2 linked regions of the Astyanax mexicanus genome follow. The protein of the gene in region 1 purifies or fractionates together with the protein of each later gene. This does not show direct contact. Links are inferred from orthologs where the notes say so. Each region holds a gene or a part of one and is shown in the gene's direction. Other genes may lie near its edges.

Region 1 (11,345 bases):
AGCTACAATAATATATGCTACCCCTACTAGACTTTGTCCCAAAGAGTTATCTTTTCATTACACAAAATTGGATGTAGTGATGTATATGGTTCTTCTACATGTGATAAACAGGTGACAACTTGTGCATTTAAGTGCTTCTCTGATAAAGAAATGCCAATCCAGTAGGTTAAACATGATGTGGCGCCCTATAGGTGCCTATCACTATAGGATAAATTGTTTTTGACTTAACAAGAAAGAGTGAATTGTTGTCAATGATAGCACAACCCAAAACATTAATTTATTCTATCAATTTATGTTTTCAGATTTTCAGATTTAGCCACAGAATATACAAGCCTTACAAGTGGTGAGTGCGTGCAGTTCGTCTTCAGTTGTACCAAGGGGGAGGGGGACAGTTCTTCGCACCTGACACTCTGGCTGAAACTCCACCCTCTTTGACTAGGTCTGCCTAACAACAGAGCGATCTATATTCTGATTGGCTCAACGAGAGTACATTATAATAAACAGCCGATGGATGGTGAGAAATACCATGTGTGCCCTGTGAGCGTATGTACTTGCTGAGGTGCGTGTGACTGAGACTTGAGAACACTGATTATGGCTCTTAAAGATGTTATAACCCTTTTTTGGAACAGGAACTAGAATCTTGTCCCATGACTTTTGTAATATTCCATGAAAGCCAAGAAACACCGGGGAAACTCCTGCATTAAATTTGGATGTAATTTCTGCCAGAGTTACGCTGTCTCTTCACATGGACGTTCTCGCCAGATGCCACCTTTCACGACCATTACCACCCACTGCACAGATCACTGTGGGTGGTAATGCCTTGAATAATTATTCCTGGTTATTCACATTGCCTTATCATAGGCAGGCTCAATGGTGTCTGAACACACACACACTTAACTTATACAGGAGTGAGCATGTCCAAACCAATACCTTAGGTAACACTTTGAGCAATTTACAAACTGCTTAAACTATCCCATGATTTTTGGCATGTCAGTGTATTTCCAACATGTACTTTTCTTCTTAATCTTTTAATTGTGGCATAGTATGATGCTTGTTTTAAATGTTTATTTTAAAGTGATGTTTATAATGAGTGTGACTGGCAGTAAATTAGCCTTTATGTCTTTAGCAGGTGTCCAGTAAGTAAGTAAGTACAAATACTTCATTATCTTACATAAGTAGACATTTTGGTTATTTATACTTCATTGGAGTCCTTTTTTAAGCCAACTTTTTAATTGTACTCCTTACATTTTCACACAATTATCTGAACTGTCTACTCCTTACATTTTATAAACAGCCTCCCATTACTCCCATTTCATATCTGCACATTTTCATTCTGGCTTCTCATTGTACAAAAAAATAAAAACTATCCAGATAAATCTCTCCATCCAGATCCAAATCTGATTTTGGTTGGTTGAAAAATATAAACATATACCATTCCGACACCATGTCACGCCCACACTTCTACAAGAACATAGCCGACGTATGTAGTCTAGTATGAAGATGAGCAATACCAGAGACTCAAGAGAAATGTCCCAACTAAGCTTCTTTAATATATTTACATTGTACTAAAATGCATTCATCTTCAATGGGCATATATGCAGCTGAAACAGGGAGCCTAGTGCATTACCAATTTTCAACATCAACATTTTAATATAACATTAACATAACATTTTTTTTTTACTTTTTATACTTTAAGTAGTTTTGAAAGCAGAACCTTTACACTTGTACCTGAGTAAAAAGCTTGAGTTGATACTTCAAGTTCTACAGAAGTATTTTTAAGCTCTTTTATTTTTAATTCTACCTAAGTAATGAGTGTAAATACTTTTGACACCTTTGTTTTTAGTATACTAAATCTAGTAACTGATCCTGATTATTAAATACATTTAGTTTATTGGTCACATCTTTCACATAGGACTAATAAAATTCCTTGGCTGGTGATACTTTATATTGTTTCCTTGGGTTCTAATTATAGTCAAGTAGTTTTATTGTCAATACCGCATATGTACAGGACATACAGAGAATTGAAATTGTGTTACTCTCCTAGTATACTCTCCTACTATAGTACATCTTGTTTGCTAAACATGGCAAACACAAGGAAAAACAGATTTTTATCGTCCTGTTTTCTTTAATGTCATGACCAATAGCACTAAACCAGTGAGTGAAAAGGAAATGATGGTACACAAATAACAAAGGGCTTCTTCTCACTTACAGTGGGTTTTAGTACATATAATTAACAGCAGAACATCTGACAGCTGTGTGGTTTAAGAGAAATGAAAGGTATAGGTCATGCGTTGCATTCCAGGAACCCTCAGCACCTGTCTTCTCAGAAAGCTCTGAATAGCACTGTCTGTGCCTGTATTATGTGAAATAGGGAGGAGGAGGAAGAGAAGGAGGATAAGGTGAAGTGCCTGCTGACCCCATTAGTTGACTGAAGGTAGGAGGATGATAAAATCACTTTCATAATATTTATGTTTATTTTAATGCTCCCTCCCAGCTAATGCCTGGCTTACTGCCTGATAAAAAAAATCTAGATTTTTTGACAGTGCATAACCTGTTATACAGTAAAAAAAAAAAAAAAAAAAAAAAAAAACAGACTGTGAGGGGTTTGTTTTTTCCAGTGTCCTTGTGGGATTCCTCCATGTACTTTAGTTTCCTTCCATATTCCCAAAACACATGGTAGTTGAGTTGGCTATGCTAAAATACCCCTGAGGTGTGAGTAAGTAAATGTGTGTGTGGTACCCTGCAATGAACTGGAGTAGACCTACCCACTCGATAGGGTACATTCCTGCCTTGACCTCAGTGATTGCCAGTAGGTACTGACTAGACTGGACCACCAAATAGCAACATGTTTTTGAACTGCGGTCATTCGACACCTCAACACAGTTGGGGGAGAACACTAATACCCCATTTACATGTGGCTCCTTCATGTGACTAGTATCCAAATAGATTCTGATAGGATTTGATTCACATGTATTTCCATTTGGTAGTCAAATGCATCTTCAGTCAGGCCGACTGAAATCTGATTGCTGCCGGTTATGGAATATGCAAATCTATTCATTGCACAGCGATTACAGTATAACTGGTGTTTCTGTTGTACTTGGAGAAATTTGGGTTGATGAATGTGTCTCAGAAATAGAGATGTGTTTAAACTGTTATAACGTGGCCCATATCTGGAGCCTATGACTTTTTTATGTTACTATTACAATGTATATTATTATTTTTGTATCCCACCATTGATAAACTGTTTGGCCAGTTTGGAAAGTATTTACATCAGAACTAAATCGGTTTATGCTGCCTTAAAAACATTTATGTGTCTGATGTCAGGTGGTGGTTCTAGGTAGCACCTTAATGAGGTTAAATGAGTATTCAGTGTGTTTACACCTTTTGTGTTTTTAGTCATTTAAAAATGTTCTCCATTGTAGATTAACATTAAAGTCCTCCAAACTATGAAGAAAATACATGGACTTATTTAGTAAACAAGTGTTAAACAAACCAGAATGTTATTTATATTTCAGATGATTTAACATAGGCACCTCTTGCTTCGATGACAGTTTTGCACATCTTGTTAATTACTTGAATTTCTTGTCCTCTTAATGTGTTTGAGAGTTGTGTTGTGAAGAGGTAGAGTTGGTATACAGTAAATAGCCCTGTGTGGGTAATGTTAAGAAATTAAGGATAATCACAAAGACCATTCATCAGGACTCTCATCAAAAAGACCAGGCATACCTGTCAAGTTTTAGATTTAAAAATAAGGGATATTTTCCTCTGTCCGCTTAAAGCCGTCCCACCAGCCCAACGAAGGTTCAGTATCCCTTACATGTTAAAACAGGTTTACAAAAAATCTAAAATAACCACATGTGAAACACTTACACTACAATTAGATTATCAGAATCTGAACATGTTGTGGACATTCCTACATATGTCATTCTTTTAATACAGCCAAATTAAAAACCCTTTTCTATATATTTTTTTTATTTAAGATTTCATGTCTTTTTTGTAATAAATGCACTCTTTTATATGATATATTTTTTATTTATTTAATGGATTTAAAATTGAACAAAGAGTGCACAAATTCTGCAAAATGACTGTTGGTGACCTAAAAATGGTATTATGAGCTTTTACTAAAAGGACATGGACCAGATATATTCCATCAGTAAAAATTAGTCCTAAGGGGCCTACGCAATAATTTTTAATTAATACTTCTTCCTTTTGATCACTCCACCCCTGATCAGTTCAGTTAATGTCGGTCCTCTCCACATTTCTAGTTAAACTGAGTCACAAGCTGTAATTTTTTTTATTTTAAAAGGTTTAATCTGTGTGTTTTATTTCGGAGTATTTTTAAGCAGCTATCAGAAAAATCTCATCACAGTTTCCATGATTAGACTACCGTTACCTTTCTTTTAGAAAAAAGCTGCCTGAACTCACAGCGAGGAGGGCGGGGCTTCCCCACACTGACCCTCCTTGCAAGCTGATTGGCTGTTTTTCCTGAAAGGCGGGACTTTTTCCTTGAACCGGCTCCACGATTGGTTAAGAGACACAGAGCGGTCAGTGCCCTGTATCCTCAATAATATATATTTTTTTATTTTAATAAAATACGGGAAATTTACGGGAAAATACTAATACGGGAGGACAGCGGGAAAGAGGAGTAAAATACGGTAGTTTCCCGGCCAAAACGGGAGACTTGACAGGTATGAAGACCAGGTGGATAAGTTCATTAGAGGTACCACAAATTAAACAGCACGTGTGATTAGAGTATTTTGGTTTGTTTAACCCTTTTAAGTTACTACATGATTCCTTATGTGCTCCTTCATAGTCTGGTTGACTTCAGTGTTCATTTACAATATAGGGGGGGAAAATGTAATACATTGAATGAGAAGGTGTCCAAACTTTTGAGTGGTACTGTTTGAGTGGTACCCTAACCCTAACCCTAACCCTAACCAAACATTTCTCTCCATTGTACTATTTGTGATTTCCATACATTAATGGGTTTTAAGAAATAGGGCTTGACAACAAACTAAACAAATTGAGAAAGATGGGAGAATGAAAGAACACTAATTACTTAGAGTACTGTTTTTGGCAAGACTTTAAAATAAAGGTACATCAATTAAAAGTACTTACAACAAGAATAAACATTGTTAAGTGGCTTAGTAATGTCTCGACTAATTATTAATAGACAGTAGTTAAGACATTATTAAATATTATAAAATGTTAATTCTGTAATGTTGTAAATAATAATAAATAAAGAAGTTCAAGTGTTAAATGATTAATAATGTCTTTATTAGTGTCAATTAAAAAATAATACTGTTTATTAATGTACAGTTATTGTAGAGGGGTACTCTTTAGAGGGGTGTCTTTTAAGTCTGTCCTTCTGAAGGAGTTTTATGTGTGGATTTTTCAGGATGTTGTCAGTGTGAAAACAAAGCAGTAAGGAGGAGCTCTGTGGTGGGCGGTGCTGGATCTGCCAATCATGTTGGTCTAAAGCATACAGACCCGCCCACACAGAGAGTCATCTCACTGTAACTTACCTTTTTATTGAACTGGGTGTTCTTTTTCTCACTTTGCTAATTTAAGACGAGTTAAATCTAGTTTTACATTAAAACATTATCTTACATTCTGCGCCCTATTGCTTTTTTGCACTCAGACTTTGGACAGAGAGAGAGAGAGTGTGTGTGTGTGTGTGTGTTTACAGCTGCAGTCTCTCTCAGTATGGCGGAGTGGTATTTTTATGAATGGAGCAGATAGAAAGAGAGAGAGAGAGGGAGAGCAGGAGGGAGGAAGAGGAGGAGGATTGAGCCAGGCTGCAGTGTCTGCGTGTGTCCGGCAGGGGGGAGTTTGAAGCTGGAGCTTTTTTTCTGAGCTCCATTTCCCAACTAAAGATAAAAGCCTGAAAACCGCAAATATGTATTGCTGCAGACTGGAGCACCTCCAAAGAGGAGGGGCTTGCCTCCAAATGGGAGGTCCACAGCTCCAAAGGGGAGGGGCTTACCTCCAAGTGGGAAGTCCACCGGCTCGAGACTGTGAGCGCGTTTGTGCGCGAGACCTCTCTCACCTTCCGTGATTATTATTATTACTATTATTCTATTACAAAGAATTTAATGTTATATAAATTGTACTATCACATTATATTATATTATATCATATTATTATATTAAAGTCTACATCGCAAGGCAGGGAGACCTCACCCAACACAGCTTCATTTTCTGCCGAATGCCACAAAAAAAGTCCTCCGTGATTAAAAGGCTCATGGATGTCAATAAATATTTTAGTCAACAATTAATGATTATTTATATTTCTTAAATGTCAAATAATATACGTGTAGTGTGTATGTATTTATAATATTATTGGCTATGAATAAACAACTGCCTTTATTATTTAGATCTTTACTATTTTATAATTTGACAAATTCACAGCATGGCAAATGTTTAAACGTTTTTAAATAAATAAAATGTGGTTGCAATGTGCACAACATGCTTTTAGACTCTTAGAAAATGCATTTTAAAAGAAAATAAACATTTAATAAACGAAATAGATTAATTAATTAACTTTTGGGGTTATTTACAAGCACAAAACGTCGTGAAAAACACCATACCGCCTAACACCAAGCACCATCCTACTTGGAGGTAGGCTCCACCTGTTTGGAGGTATGTTCCTCTCCTTTGGAGGTGCTCCAGGCTGCAGCTATACCCTTCTCGAAAACCGACGCGGGGCGTCCAGATGTGTTAGTAACTTTTATCCGCCTCAGAGTCGGAGGGACGCGGCCTGGCCTCGCCTGTAGCTCGCCGTGCTTCTGGTCGACTGTATCTGACCGCTGGGGAACAGGGGGAGATGAAGCCGAGCGCTCGGTCGGGCTAACACAACATTAGCTAGGCTAGCTGGAGATTTTTAGAGGTTCGCCAGCAAACGGTAACCTGGGTTGCTTATAGATAGTTAACTAGCTAGCTAATCCAGCGTTAGCTATAGCTGAGTAGCGTCGGGATGCTGGTGTGATTGGTTACCGCTTGGTTACCGTTTTTGTGCCGTTATGGCACGGAAGGTCGAGACTAACGTTAAGTTGCTGCTGCGCATCTGAATTCCAGCAGAATTTCGCTCTAACGCTAACTAGCTGTTAAGTAGCTCGTTACGACAGAATGCCAGGTCTCTTGCTCTTATAATGGCACCTATAAGCTAGCTAACTAAGTGCTATTTGTCTAGGTTAATTACCCAGCGTAACGTAGTGTATTTTTTCTTCTGTTTACCTCAAATCGGCTGTATGTCTCGCCAAACCCGATGGCTGAGTAGCTGCTGCCCTCAGTAACCAGGTCTAGTTCAGTCCAGCAGGTCTGAGTGAGATCTGGAGCTGCTGCTGCTGTCGCGGTTTAATTTCTCCTAATATCTACAGTCAGTCGTTTCCCTCTCGGACTTACTGACGGACCACTCAGGAGGAGAAAAAGAGAGAAGGTGCCTTAAATACTTAAATACCACAGAGGAAGAATGGCCGCCACTTTAACAGCAGAGGAAGAGCAGGTAAGTGGAAATAAAAATAGCGAGAGGCAGAAACACATTAACTGCTACAGCTGTCATTTTCTAAGGTCACAGAATATTTAACTAGCTAGCTAGCCTAGTTAACCTAACTAGTTAGCTGTCCAAGGTTATTTAATGTTAAACACAGGTCTAAGCGATAGAAACTAGTACAAATATAAACCCTCTGTGGCATGAATTTTTATTTAATCTAAAGGAACAAATGAAACACTGCTTAATAAGAAGTCTGACTGCATAATGTGTCCTGATGCAAAAAATAAAAAACACTTTAATCTAAACAAATAAATGAACAAATGTTAATACCTCAAAACATTTTACATGTTGATGCATTTAAACATATTTTATCATTTTATCTTAGATTAATTTAAATTTAAACATGTTAAAGCATTATATTCATCTTCTCAACTACTAGCATTGCGTCCCAAAACCAAACCCACCTCTAGAGAGAATGTCCAAATTGTTCCCCCGCATTTTATTTATGTAGTTAGGCTTGTCTTGTGATATATTAAAAGAAAGAACATTAAAATTAAAGAGTTTGTGTAATCACAAAAAACTGAGGGCAACACCAAGCCATAGAGGGTTAACATAAGCACAATATTTAAAGATATGTTCTCAGTACAAAATATTTATTACAGTACATTCTGACATGCAGGTATAATAAGCTAACTTGTTAACCTACACAGGAGTGGCGGATATTATGGAGTGGCTGAATAATACCTGGTCTTCCTACAGCTGACTAATACAGTAATTTATATTCAAAATGTGCTTGATGTTATCAAGTTAAACAGAATTAATGACACACTTTGTACTGAAATGTGCTCTTAGTGTTAATCTTAGTGTTGAAATCTATGTTCTCCTATCCATTGAGCTCAGAAAAGTTAAGTTGAATGTGTTCATAGACACTCAACAGCATGCTCCTAGTAAGGCAATGTGAATCACCAGGAATAAGGTCATGTCCATGTATTATATGATAAATCAACATATTTTTCATATTTATTGTGACACACTTTCACACATGTACTTCTACACATCTGACAGTAGTGAAACCACTCACCTAGCTATTTGAGGTTTTAAGACAGCTCAGACCTCACCCTGTGTGAGTTAAGAGAGAATGTGCTGCGTTTGTTTGTGTGTGTGTGTTTGGTGCATGAGAGGTCGGTGAACACCAGGAATCAGGGCTAGATTTCACAATATTTCCACGAAAAGAAAAGAAAGTTTCAGTTTTCACTGTCGGACTAAAATCTTCCAGCCTGAAGGACACGTCCCTGCGTTTAGGCTGGAGGTTCAGTTTGTTGGGTTAAGAGATGTAGTTCTATTTTAAACAATTTTGAGTCTGAAGGTTTATATATAAGATTTCAGGGGAACCTGTGGTTCTGTGACCCTCAGTGTGTGTCTCCCTGAATAAGAAGGAGCAAAAATACAAGATTAAAGTGAAAATAAGTGAGAGTCATGCCTCTGTGCTATTAGTCCCACCAGTAAACGGTCAGTGTTTCCATAAAAAAAGAGGGCCTCAAACAGGAAATGGCCATTATATAATCCTCGCCTGTTATTTACAGTGCGTTATAAAGGAGAAAAACACCACCACATGCAATAGAGCTGCCAAAAATGCTCAATGCTTCTATAGTACTTTGGGTTGAGCTCTAGGTCAATAAAAATGTGGTAAATGAGCCTGTCTTTGCACTTTCCGCTTACTGGCGACTTGTTCAGGAACCTGTTCTGAAGGCTTAAAGAAGGATCAGTGGTCCTGTACCTGAACAAAGCTCTTCTGTCATTTTCTTTCCTGCTTTTGCAGCTCATTTGAATGAGGCCCAGCCTTATCGACCATCTCTTAGACTCCCTCAGCTCACCTCACTGGGAGAGAAACAAAGCTGCGCTGTTATCTTTCGTCCCTACAGTGTCTGTCTGCCAGCCAGTTAGTTTGTGAATGAAGCTCTCTCTTCACTCCAGGGACCTGCATCCACTTTGCCATCTCAGGAGAGGTGCAAGGCAGTGGGCCTTATCTGGGATGTTGCTTTTCTGTGTGTGTGTGTGTGTGTGTTTGGGAGTAATTACATCTCAGGCTGGACATGTCCGGAGCTCAGTGGGCCCGGAGGGACTGGCAGCCCAGCAGCTCGGTCGTTCTCTGAGGCAGCTGCTAAAAGCATTTCCACTGAATGAGGGCTCTGCTCTGCTGCAGGACTCTCACGGGGGTGGGAAGTGGTGGGGCGGGGGTATCTCCCAGGAAGCATCAGGGCGGGGGTTGGGTGGGTGAGTGTGAGAAAGCAAGTGACAGAGGAGTGAAAGACAGAGGCAGGCATGGATGGAGCTGATGACGCACGGCTCTTCCTGTTCAGCATCGACTGATGCCAAAATAGACAGGAGTGACAACCTGAATGTGGCACAGGGGCTGTCTGTCTCTGTTTTTGCACTTAATGACATGGACCTGCACGGGGTTGGCTTCTAAACATTTTATAATCACCAGTAGGTCATGCCACAGCTCCACAAACATTACATGAATGGCACTGATTATTTCTAATAAGCTCTACCCATTGTTTGCCATGTTATCGTGTCCTTTTTACGGTTGTAATGCATATGTGGGTGGAAGGATCCAGAGCTCTGTCCCAGGGGAAGAATGCTTATTTAGTGGTCAGTACATCTGGATGCACTCCAAGATGGAGTCGAGTTGTGTGGTGAAGCCAGTTTTTGATGTGGGACAACAAAAAGTCGCTACTAGCTAGCGTGCATTAGGTGAATGATCATATGGCTTACAGTAAGCAAGCTTTATTTTAAGTTTTAGCGTAGTGAATGAAATTAATCATAATTTGGAAAGTTCCAAAACTCTGAAAGCAGGGCTGCCTTTAGTGAGTTTTCGTTTCATGTGTAAATCCTGTTGACTCAGCGTGGTTTCCACAGATGATGACTGAAATCTCTCCTCCAGAGTTTCAGAATTACAACTGCTGACTAAGCAGACTGAGCAGAGCCTGAGCAGCCTCTTTTGACCTGCATGACACTGATAAACTAAAGCAGGGATGGGGAAACTCAGTCCTGGAGGGTCGAATTCCTGTACAATTTATGCATTTCCTGCTCAGACACACCTGATACAACTCGCACATTAATTGCGAGATTTGGTTGGTGTGCTAAAGCAGAAAAATTGGCAAACAGCTATGCCCTCAGGTTCTCATTCCTAAACTGAAGAGAGTTGTTTTACAACCACATTTGGGAGTTTGTTTGGAAATATGACCCCCCCCCCCCCTCTTTAATTCCTTTCCTTTTCAAACCAATGGCCTAATTTGTACTAGCAGTGTGGAAAAATATATTTACACAATATTAAGTTTTGCAATACTTTGAGATGGATTCATCACTTTTTTTGGGGTCATACCAAATGTTTATCATCTTTTAGCTTTATTGGCTGAAAGCACATTCACTATTCCAGGCAATCTTTTGGGTAATGAAATATTGTGCAGGATTTCTGCAATGCTTCATGTCTGACTTGGTATAGCGTCATTTATTTGTTTTTACCGGCATGAGTGAGGTCTGTTTTGTCATTTAGCAGTTAAATGAAAAATTGAGCATCTGTTGACTTTGCTCAAGACTGCAGCAACTCGAAAAAATATGGATTGTATGATCTGGCCATCAAATAATCACCAAATGCTTATTTGGACGAAAAATTGTCTATTGCGATGTATATCTGATTGATCATTCAATTTCTTGCAAAACTGTATCAGTTTTAATTAAAAGTTTACCTCGACTGCTAGATAGCAGTGTTATACTGTCTTCAGGTCCCTCTGTTCTGATTGGACGACAAGCAAACCGTTCTTTTACTTGGATTTTGAGAAGTGTGTAAGTGT
Region 2 (12,320 bases), on another chromosome or scaffold:
AGAGAAAGATGCTCCTTAAGGTACCGAAACTATTAACATATTTGAAGCTAGACAAAATAATTGTTCTTTTTATATTTTATATAGTTTTTTCTTTAAGAAGATGAGAATGTCCACATTCTCTGGAGAAAGGGCTGCTCTTTGAGCATTCACAATGTCTGCGCTGCGCCATTTGCCTAGCATGCTGCGCCATTTGCCTAGCATGCTGCGCCATTTGCCTAGCATGCTGCGCCATTTGCCTAGCATGCTGCGCCATTTGCCTAGCATGCTGCGCCATTTGCCTAGCATGCTGCGCCATTTGCCTAGCATGCTGCGCCATTTGCGAGGCTCGAGACCATGACATAATTTCGATCGATTTCAATAAAATATCGAAATTGTGACACCCCTATAAAAAAAACGTATTTCTAAATTCATTCTTTTTTTTTCCCCCCTTAATCTCCTTTCATATGAATCCCCCCATCTCAATGACCACAAAGACTTCTTTATGATCTGCCTTAGTTCTCGGATCAACTTAAGAGCCCTACACAACACTTAGTGAAGATCACTTACCTGCCCATCAATCATATAGGAGATCATCATAATCTGGTCTGTTTCTGCATCAGGGAACTTAAGAGGGAGCTTTGTGGTCTCAATATCAAATGCCAATACAACAGGATCCTGTAAAAGAGAAGCTATACAATCAATACATAAACTGCATTCGATGAATTTTGTGTTTTAAGCGGACTACTCTGACTATTACACATAAGCTCAATATATTGAATAGAATATTTTACTTTTAAAAATCAAAACTGCCACCTTACAGAAATACCTGTAACTTTATTTCGTAATGGGTACAGTACTGTAGTAGTGATACTAGTACTTACAGGTCTTTCAACAAGATCATCCCTACGCACAATCTCAGGAGGGTATGCACTGCCTCTGTACCGCACGTTATACCAGTGAGCCTGAAATCAAACAAGGTTAGTTTAAATCAACATCAAATCTAAATACTGGAGACAAAGTTAACTAATTTAAACCTGTCAGCACAATATTAACACCTAGCTCCACTAGAAAACTTCGTAGCACAGTGCAAAACATGGATGGGATGAGACCACACATGCAAATGTGTTCTATACAACATAATTCTTAATTATGAATCTGTGGAGTGTGTTCTTACCACATGGATCTTGAGGTCAATGGACAGCCTTACATGGTAAGGTACATCATACTCCCTCATATCCACAATGTTGTCTAGCTGGTCAGACATTTTCTTTGATGTACCATCTTCATCAGCTGTCATCACATTCCCACCTGCGAGTACACTACAACACAAATCACCAAAGGTGAACATCTTATATAATCAGAACATTCTGATTAAATATTGTGCAATTTGTGTAATCATATTGTTTCAATTCAGGTTACATTTGCATGAAAATAACATAAAACTGTAATGAGTTTCATATAAAACCATAATAATCAAAGAGAATGGCAATTATTATGTGTAATTTCTAAATTGGGATGTATGAAAAATACCTGCACAGCATGCTGGTGTAGGCATCATTAGATTTCTCTCTCTCCCTGTTTTTTCTAACGGCAGGTGAAATCTCTCGCTTCACTTTGATTAGGTCGTCCACTGTGTTAAAGGACAGTTTGATGTAGTTCCTCTTCAGACCCACCAGGTGGTTCGGCTGGAATAAACAACAGCATATTAAAACAATACTAAAATGAAAGTAACATAATATAAATAGAGAGAAATTTCTGAATTTATAAGCACATAAAAGGTTTGAAAGACTGACAGACAATCTGATATGCAACAGAGTTACAATGATGGGTGTAAGAAAATATCAATATCCTCGAGAATCACAAAAATATTTTGTAATACTGTATCGTTTCTTAAAAAACAGCAATATTTTTAAAGAATAGTTCACATGCAAAGATTGCTGTCAGCCTCTAGACATCAGTGCTTAATTCTTAAGATGCCACTGTTCTTACTGAATAAAAAAAAGTTTAATAAAACCCAATAAAAGCCATCACATATCTTTGCACACAGTATTACAATTAACATGCTGTGTCATAAAAATTAAAAAAGGCTAAATAAATTATGTAAAAATGTAATGTGTCTCATTACCAGATCTAGATCCTCTTTGGGCACAATCTCCAGTTTTGCCACCTTTCCTTGGTACTTCTTTGACAAGTAGGAGACGACTTCTCTCTCACAGTTCTACAGAATTTACAGAAAATAAAGAGGTCACATTGGAAAAACCCTACTTTATATGTTGTACTAAATGTTTGTAGATACATTTTTATTCTTACCTTTTTAGTGGCTATGTAGAAGTATGGCTTAAAGGGTAAAGCCACCTACAAAAATAAACAGTGAATGTTAAAGGATGAAATAGAGAGGGAAACAAATTAACCAAACCATCAACTGCTGATTTAGTAACATTATTCCTAACCTTGAATCTGCTGCCATCTTCCTGAATGAAGTAATAATCCACAGCACTGATCATCCTCTTGTCATCATCCAAAATCTCCGTCTGGCAGAAGTGAGATATCACAGGAGTTACTGAGAGCAGTGAAAACTCTACAGATTGCTTTATTAGGTGCTTAGTGTTATGATGTTTTCATGAATTTGGGTTAATTATTTCTTATACATTCTTAATTTGTATTAAATGAACAGACATTTAACAGAGTATTATTATTATTATTATTGTGTATATGACCCTTTTGACCACGTACCGGATGCATGTTGATCAGCCATCCAGTTTTTTCTCCAGGCTCCTTCATTCGCTCAAATCCGAAGCGTGTGTCCATTCCATCAGTAAACTGACTTCGTTCAAGCCGCTTGACGGCAGACATGCCGGGTCCATCATCCCTTTAGGCAAAACAATTCATTACATTAGCACATTTTTAATAAACAGTAGCTGTAGTGATATTATAACACAGTGGAAGCGGCTGGGAACAACAGCAACTCGCTTTATCAGTGTCAAATCAGAGTATCAGGTATAAAAGAGCATCAGTGTTACTTGTAGTGTATCTTCCTTTGGTCAAGTTCTGTCATATTTTTCTTTTTGCCTTGGATGTCTTGAGTGACTTTATGTTTTGAAATTTATTTTAACGTGTCTGAATTACTAAAATACAAGTAAAATATACAGACCTTTCACAATAACAATTTATTATTGCGATATACAATATCATAGAATATTTTTTTTGTAATTAATCATAGCTTAAAAAAAAGTATATATCAAAACCCACCACATATCTTTGGATACAAAATCACAATCAATATGCTGCATCATGCACATATAATAAGACAAAATGAATGAGGGAAAATTTTTAATGGGTCTCATTACCAAATCTAGATCCTCTTTAGGCACAATATCCAGGTTTCACGATTATACAGTGTTAAAATATTGACTATTCAGTAGAGGTGGGCGATATGGCTCTAAAATAATATCACGATATTTCAGGGTATTGTTTGCGATAACGATGTACTTGGCGATATAGGAAAACTAAAATAATTCATTCATTTCAGGAATATAGTATAATAGAATAACATAATAATCATAATGTGGGAAAATAAATAATATAGCATAAAATAATATAATGCAACAAATAATATTGCAGAATATTTAGTGCATGCATATAAACTGCAAACAAACAATTATACAATAAATACACCTAAAGCTTCACAGTAAATAATAGACTACTTTTAAAACAAAACAAGGCCTATTATCACAATATGGATTTTTAATATCATGATATTTCTGTGTCACGATATAATATTGCCCACCTCTACTATACAGAACACACATATTTATTATGAACACCCAGCTCTGCTGATTTAATATCAGAACTTACACTCTACATTTAAGCTTTTGGATTTAATATCAGACAATAATTAACCCAAAAAAAAGATTAATCTAAACACACATTATCTAATAAGTTTCACAGCAGTTCTGTTCTGCACTCAGCAACGTCTTAGTGATTTTACATATGTCTCCATACCAGATATTTAATTAGTGACAATACTTAACCTACCTAACCTAGTTTAAAACCAAGGTAGCTCTCACTTTAAGCTTTACATTTTAAAATCAGACTGTAATTATCCCCTAAAATAGAAGATAACACCAAACACACGTTAAATATATTTACTGCAGCTTTGTTTTATACACTCAGCAACATTTTAGGCCTGATATTTCTTTCCATTCTCAGGTTATATTCTGGTTACTCCTCCTCCTACTGCTGCTGTTAGTTGTCAGTGTTGTGAGAACTTACTGCTGGTTGTCTTGGTCTCCTCCATCCCGGTCTACTCTGAATCTTCCACTGTTCTGTAGAACCATCCTGAATTAAGCTACTAACCGCTGGCTAGTAAGTTAACTAGTAAACAATCTGAGTACAGAGGCTCTATAGAGCTTAAGGTGTCTGGAAAGGTTAGCTAGCTAGCTAAGCTAGTTAAGCTAAACCCCCGCTAGCTAACTAACCACTACTCTTGTCATCCAGCGCTAGCACAGCTAGCTATCGTAACTACTTACAAACATATATAAGCGATTTACATTCAATTCTCTCTATTTTCTCAGCCAACACAACTATATATCACATCTCCGTAACAAGTAGAGTGTGCCGGTTGGCGTTAAAGCGCATATAAAATAGAGTTTCTTGAAATTTTTCTCTAATATTCGCGGCTATTTTTACTGTTTTCCCCAGTCTGAGTTTGGCGGGTTTTTGCCCTACTTGCCGCGAGAGCCCATCAGCTTCCGCGCGCACGGCTCCGCCCCTTGATGCCTGTTGACCAATCGGGGCACAGATTGGCACATGGAAGCTCCTGGATCGCGTCCCAAATGGCTATACACCCTATGTAGGGCACTAGAAATTGACAGCTGCTGCACTCAACTAAGTAGTGAACTTATATGCAGTATATATGGAGCATTGTTGCTATTTGGGATTGGTCCTTGGTGCATTTTAGAAATCATTTTTTTGCTAAAAAAAAAAAAAAAAAAGCATTGCTCCTGAACTAATGACTATGGAAGCCCATTTCCGCCACCTGAAGAAAAAAAACGTCCTCAACTAAGTCATAATTATGAGATAGAAAAGTCATAATTATGGGATAGTAAGTCATAATTATGAGATAGTAAGTCATAATTATGAGATACTAAGTCATAATTGTGAGATAGTAAGTCATAATTATGAGATAAAAAAGTCATAATTATGAGATACTAAGTCATAATTATGAGATAGAAAGTCATAATTATGAGATACTAAGTCATAATTATGAGATAGAAAGTCATAATTATGAGATAGAAAGTCATAATTATGAGATGACTTTTTATCTCATAATTATGACTTTCTATCTCATAATTATGACTTTCTATCTCATAATTATGACTTACTATCTCATAATTATGACTTACTATCTCATAATTATGACTTTCTATCTCATAATTATGACTTACTATCTAATAATTATGACTTTTTTATCTCATAATTATGACTTACTATCTCATAATTATGACTTAGTTGAGGACGTTTTTTTTTTCTTCAGGTGGCGGAAATGGAATAAATGACTGTATCTAAACCTGTTTAAATGTTTTTTTTTTTCAGTGTTTAAAGTGGAAATAAACTATAGCGTTATTACGTACCCCCCTCCGTGTTTTTATTACGATGACTTTGCTAATATTATATTATAATATATTATAATATTATTTATCTTTAATATTAATGTTGAGGATTCTTTAAATTTCACTTATTTGTTTATTATGTTTACCTTTTATTTTTCTGCTTATTCAATTCCTTGTTCTAACCTTCTAATATACAGGCAATAGTGATATAAATTGCAATTGTCCTAAATAACTGTATTAAAGAATACTTTAGTAACACATATTAATCATCCCATTCATTTATTAAAATCCTGTTAAATAAATGCATTATTTATGAGAACTGAAATGTGAAAATACTGAAAAATACTGTTTAGATAGGGTTAGGTACTATATATGTGTTTGTATGCGTGTGTGAAATAAAATTATCTTAAGAATACACTACTGCAGCAAAATGAAGCTTACATTTTATTATTGTATACGATATGATATGGCACACCCCTAACTGAGATTTTAAAAAATACAAGACTTTTTAACAGATTTTTAACAAAAGTTAGTGATCCAAAATGTCATGATACTAATAATAATGCACTCCAAATATCTCCATATATCCTAAAATAAAGTCGAATAAATGATAATGGACAGATATAATCTTTCTCTGGTAGATATATAATGGGAAATGAGAAGAGTGTGAATTTTTATTTTGCTAAAAACAGCAAAAAAGCAGTACCCTGATGTGATAATTAGTGCTGGGTGATATTGCACGATATTTCATGGTATAAAACCGTTCATGATATTGAAAAATGCTTATAAAAACATATAATAAATAATACAAAGTAAAAACATGAATGAGCGAGTAAGTGAGAGAATCCACCAATCAGAATCGAGAAAATCACGCATGGCAACTGCTGGGGAGACTCCGCCCATAGGAGCGATGAGGAAAGTAGCAACAGCTAGCCTAGCTTAGCTAACTAACTGGTTGTTTGGCTTAAAATATCAGTTATGCTCTTTATCTTTCTAAAGCAGCAGCTTTTAAAATTTGCCTGTTACATAAAGTGAGCTTTAGATAATATCTGAGAGGAGGGGCCTTAAAGAAAACCTGATTTTTAGGGGTTGGTTTTTAGGTTGGATAGTTAGCCAGCCTTAGCTTAGCAACGTTAGCTTAGCAGAATGGAAGGCTGAGAGTCTGTCAAACTCTGCTGCTGCTGCTGCGTTTATTATTAGCTAGTTAAACAGGTTTATATAAATATAATAATGGTAAATATGCTGAATATGGAGGATATTAGGCTACTATGAGCTTCTGAGTTTAAAGCTCCGCACTGTCTGCTAGCTCTGGTGGTTTGTTTTAGTCAGAAACCCGCCCCCCTCCTTCTCCAGGCCGAGCTGTCTGATTTCTCCCCCCGTGGCGGTCACACAGCGCCGGGTAGAGCTCCAGCTGAATGTCATGGTTTCCTGGAGCCATGTCTTGTAAGTCCAAAGTGGCCCCGAGTGTGGACTTCGACCACAGCTGCTCGGACAGTGTTGAGTATCTGACACTCAACTTCGGTCCCTTCGAGACCGTCCATCGCTGGAGGCGACTCCCACCCTGCGACGAGTTTGTTGGGGCAAGGTAAGCACCAGGGCTGGACCCCCAAAATACAGAGGTTTCAGTATAAATACAGCTCTGGAAAAAATTAAGAGACTACTTCAGTTTCTGAATCAGTTTCTCTGGTGTTTGAGTAAAATGAACATTGTTATTTTATTCTATAAACTACAGACAACATTTCTCCCAAATTCTAAATAAAAATATTGTCATATAGAGCATTTATTTGCAGAAAATTAATGAACAAATTGTTGGAATAACAAAAATGATGCAGAGCTTTTAGACCTCAAACAATGCAAAGAAAACAAGTTCATATTCATAAAGTTTTAAGAATTCAGAAATCAATATTTGGTGGAATAACCCTGGTTTTCACAATTTTCACACATCTTGGCATGTTCTCCTCCACCAGTCTTACACACTGCTTTTGGATAACTTCATGTCACTCCTGGTGCAATAATTCAAGCAGTTCAGCTTGGTTTGATGGCTTGTGATCATCCATCTTCCTCTTGATTATATTCCAGGGGTTTTGGATTTGGTAAAATCAAAGAAACTCATAATTTTTAAGTGGTCTCTTATTTTTCTCCAGAGCTGTAGCTACCTATGAATAGAGAGAAATTGGTGCCTAATTGAAAACCAAACGCTACCGTAAAAAAATGTAAATGCAATCCACAAGATGCATTGCTTTTCTTCACTAACATGCTGAATACATGCCAGAATGAAATGCAAAACCACTATTGCATTACATTTTCCTGCACTTTTTTATTATCATTAAAAAAACAGTACACAAGAATTTACATTTTCAAAACCAAACGCTTAATTCGTATCAGAATTGCACTTGAAATGCATCTCAACAAAATCATCTTAACTGCATTGTATTCCACTGTGCAGTGCTGTGAATGTTCAAAAGCAAATCACACTGCACAGGATTGCATTTCGTCTAGGAGCATCGTGGAGTGAGTGTCAAAATGAAATGTAATCGCTGTCCAATCAGAACCCACTACTCAAGTTGGGACGGGGCTGAGAAAACTGAAAATGAACTTAGGGTGTAGTAAAACATGATAACAAACATGAGTACAAGCCTTTGTTGAATAGCCCACCTCCATTCACCTCCAGCATTCAGAAATACAGTGCTTTTAGCTGATACTCCCAACTAACAGGCTTACAATGCTAGTGATAGGGGCATAGTGCTGCCCATGCAAAGAAATCACTTTTTACACCAGTAACAAGCTCAAAGTAGCTTCACACTTTATTGGTAGAATTCTGAGGCCCCGGACGTTTAAAACGACACACTGAGATCTTTGAAAGTGCAAACTATTAAACTATTTTTTTTAATTGAGTAAACTACTGTAAATAATTCCGTAGCCACTTATGTGGAAGCTACTGTGAATAATTGAGTACTAATGTAAATTGACAAGCTGAAATGATTTAGTAACTACTACAAGTCGTCCACTAACTACTATCAATTTTAGGGTAACTGCAACAAATGATTCACTAAACATACTGCTTTTTTGGGTTCAAAGAGTTAAATATGTAAATAGCATAACTTTTTGAACCCCAAAGAGTTGTATGTTTACTAAATCAATTTATTCAAAAAATTGTGGTATTGTCAGTATTTGGTCATCGTTAAGTTATTGATTTATCTTTGTCCCCTTACAGACGCAGCAAGCACACAGTGGTGGCGTACAGGGATGCCATCTACGTGTTTGGAGGAGACAATGGGTAAGAAATTGGATGCTGGTGTGAAACATAATATACGTCAATAAATTAACCAGCTATTGAAAGTCTCACTAATGATATTGTTGCAGGAAAAACATGCTTAATGATCTGCTGCGCTTTGATGTGAAGGACTGCTCATGGTGTCGGTGGGTAAATTGAATTTTAAAGGATTATTATTTGTTTTTATTATTATTTATTTTTTTACAAATGCAATGCTTTTTAAAATCATATTATTCATGTATTTTAATTGAACAGGGCCTTTACCACTGGCACTCCACCAGCACCCAGATATCATCACTCTGCAGTCGTGTATGGGAGCAGCATGTTTGTGTTTGGTATGTGTATTTTTTATTATTATTGTTATTATAATATATATATATATATATATAATATGCATACATACATATTTTAGTACTGGTACTGAGTGCATGTTTTAAAATTAATCTCAGAAATATGAAGGACGCTCCCGGATAGAGGGTGGATGTGTTCAGTTACATTAGCAGCTCACCTGATTTAACATCCTTAATCACTGATTTACCAAACCAACTGTTGATATGATGAGGACTATAAATAACACTGAACTCCTTGAGGAGAGCTTTGAAGATGTTTTAATAAGCACCGTGATGTAAAAAACCCTACTTTTTCTTATGAAAAATATTACTAATGTATTTATTTTAATATTAGTGTTCTTCTGAGTAAATAGTCTCTTTTTGCCCAGATAAGGAGCTTTTTCAATCTAATTTTCAAAGGTTCGTAAAGTGCACAGGTACATAATCAGTTTCAAGATATAGATACATTGTCAGTTCAGGACTTTAGGCAGAATGAATTGGCATAACATGTGAGACACACTTTATTTTGTCCAGCAGGTTGTGCTAGAGACCAACTGTTAAAGAATGTTATGATTTTGTGTTTGTTTTTATTTTTTCACAGTGAATGAATATTTCACAATGTGTGCTTTATTTTTGCTAATATTTGTTTTTGATGAACACAAAAATTGGACATTATAATGAATAGCAACAATGTTTAAGCAAATATTTTGTTAGGACTATTCTTTTTAGTAGAGCAATTTCGTAGGGCAATTGTTACTTTGTTAAAATTCTTACTTATTTTTTTAGCTTATGTTTGTCATATTCCAATTTTAAAGTCTGAATGTTCTTAATCATCAAAAGTTAATTCCATTGTTATGGGACTGTATGTATCAGTGGCATAAAATGGTTTTAAAATGACAAAATTTATCAGGATTATTTCTGGGACTGCATATATTGTCCACAAAAACAAAAAGTTATGCGTTTCATGCATTTAGTCCTGTTTAACCACATTGTGATAGTGATTCGTTTTGCTGTGTCAACATGTCTACAAAATGTCTTCAAATATTGTGATATAATATTTTTTACCGTATTTGCCAGCTCTACTGATTTAATATACACTGGTGAGCTTGCCCTGGGCAAATATGTATATTCTAATTATATATAGTTTAATTGTAGGCTTTGTATTATACATTAATCACTGTCTTTGAATGTTTCAGGTGGATACACGGGAGATATCTACTCAAACTCCAACCTGAAGAACAAAAATGATCTGTTTGAGTACAAGTTTGCTACTGGCCAGTGGACAGAGTGGAAGGTGGAGGGGAGGTAGGACAATATGATAGTGTGGATATCTGGTCTGCATGTAAAATCTACTGTAGTCTTGAAGATGCTGTTTATCTACACTTTATGTGATTTATGTGTGTTTCAGATTAGTAGCCAGGTCTGCTCATGGTGCCACAGTCTATAACGACAAGCTGTGGATTTTTGCTGGTTATGATGGAAATGCAAGGTAAGTTCATAAGAACTACTTTAATTCACAATGTTATTTAAAAATGCTAAATGTGTTTATTGATCTATGATGATGTTAAACAGGTGTTTTTTAATAAATATAACATTTAGTGCTATAAATGCTGTGAATACGTATATCAGATTTAGTTTTCTCTCCACAGACTGAATGACATGTGGACCATTGGGCTTCAGGATCGGGAGCAGGCTTGTTGGGAAGAGGTAAGTAAGGCTTTTGAGGGTTCTTTTTAAAATTTTGACTAACTCTATAACCTGTTTAGATCATATGATATTGAATTGAAGTGTCCTGCAATCAAGAATACTGTACATTCACTTTTTTTCTGGGGCTCATAGTGTTTGAGATTTAGGCAGGTTTTAGTGCTGATTCAAGAATACATAACTTATTGTTAGGTATTGTAAAGATATATAGCTTACAAAAAAAAGAATGTAACCATATATAATTTATTTATACATTTATTTCTGTTAAAAAATGAAGACTATAGCTTTATATAAATTACTATATTACTATAGCTAATCTATGATTCTTTTTATTAATATAGTAGTAGCTGTAGTAGTCATTATTAGTATTGTTGAAGCAGCTTTAAGAGAAAATTGGTGTTTTTTCTTTTGGGCTCCTCCTACAGATGAGGAGTCTAATTGCCCTGAATGCTGTAATCCTGAAGGTGTTAATTACTACGAGATATCAGGCTACATTCACATTAACATTGACTCAAATCTGATTTTTTTTGCTCAATGTGGCTCTGATCTGATTTTTTTTCATGGCTGTGTGAACGTGCCAAATCTGAGTTTTTTCAAATCAGATTTGAGTCACTTTTATATGTGGTCCTAAATCTGAGATGTGTCTGATCAATGGACATGCCACATGAATGTGAATGGTCAAATCTGAATTCATGCATCTTTTTGCTTTTACGCTGCAGTACGTGCTTCTCTCTTGCCAACCAACACATCTCTTGGTGCAGCTGTGCAGCTATAGCTGCGGAAAAAAAACAGCAAAAGCAAACTGCCTGGTCTTTTTTTTTTTTCACCTCCTCGACCTGAGCATGAACTTCAGACCAGCTGTTTACTCTCCACTCCAGCAAAAAGATCCATTCCCTTTTATAAAGCTACGAATCTCAAATATGAGTTTTTTTTTTTTGTTGTTGTTGGTGAAGAAGGCGACGTTTATACAGGCATCAATGTGACAAGTGAGGCGTTTCAGGGACAGATTCATTCACATTACAGACAGATACAGATCACTTACATTTGTGAATGTGAACCGTCTAATTGGATTTGAGCAATGTGGCTTGTAATGTGAACATAGCCTTAGACACAAAATGATGTTTTTTTCCTTATGCTGTTCCCCACCAGATTGAACAGAGTGGTGAGATTCCTCCCTCCTGCTGTAACTTCCCAGTGGCTGTGTGTCGAGACAAGATGTTTGTCTTCTCAGGCCAAAGTGGAGCCAAGATCACCAACAACCTTTTCCAGTTTGAGTTTAACGGACACATGTAAGTATTCTAACATACATTTTATAATGTGCATCTCGTTGAATATTTATCTATTAAATAATAAATTAAATCAGTAAGAGAACTGTTTTGATTAGAAATGTGTTGATAATTTGTTTTTGGATCACACTCAGCT

Evidence for each region.
Region 2: the proteins of ptpn9a (region 1) and lztr1 purify together in Homo sapiens (affinity purification with mass spectrometry; 3 studies listed by BioGRID and IntAct, with this or other methods). This does not show direct contact. The link is inferred for Astyanax mexicanus from reciprocal best matches to the Homo sapiens genes PTPN9 and LZTR1.

What each region holds. Positions count from the first base shown.
Region 1 is NC_064409.1:42,590,014-42,601,358, reverse strand, and holds the start of ptpn9a (tyrosine-protein phosphatase non-receptor type 9), read left to right. Parts: upstream 1-6,674; 5' UTR 6,675-7,470; coding exon 7,471-7,503; intron 7,504-11,345. UniProt on the Homo sapiens protein: Protein-tyrosine phosphatase that could participate in the transfer of hydrophobic ligands or in functions of the Golgi apparatus.
Region 2 is NC_064429.1:31,312,749-31,325,068, forward strand, and holds the start of lztr1 (leucine-zipper-like transcriptional regulator 1), read left to right. Parts: upstream 1-6,466; 5' UTR 6,467-7,006; coding exon 7,007-7,176; intron 7,177-8,805; coding exon 8,806-8,868; intron 8,869-8,954; coding exon 8,955-9,011; intron 9,012-9,120; coding exon 9,121-9,200; intron 9,201-10,390; coding exon 10,391-10,499; intron 10,500-10,602; coding exon 10,603-10,683; intron 10,684-10,843; coding exon 10,844-10,901; intron 10,902-12,047; coding exon 12,048-12,187; intron 12,188-12,320. Other genes in the region: pole (DNA polymerase epsilon catalytic subunit A), read right to left, coding at 547-654, 861-941, 1,154-1,298, 1,510-1,664, 2,105-2,197, 2,290-2,334, 2,430-2,510, 2,713-2,848 and 1 more. UniProt on the Homo sapiens protein: Substrate-specific adapter of a BCR (BTB-CUL3-RBX1) E3 ubiquitin-protein ligase complex that mediates ubiquitination of Ras (K-Ras/KRAS, N-Ras/NRAS and H-Ras/HRAS).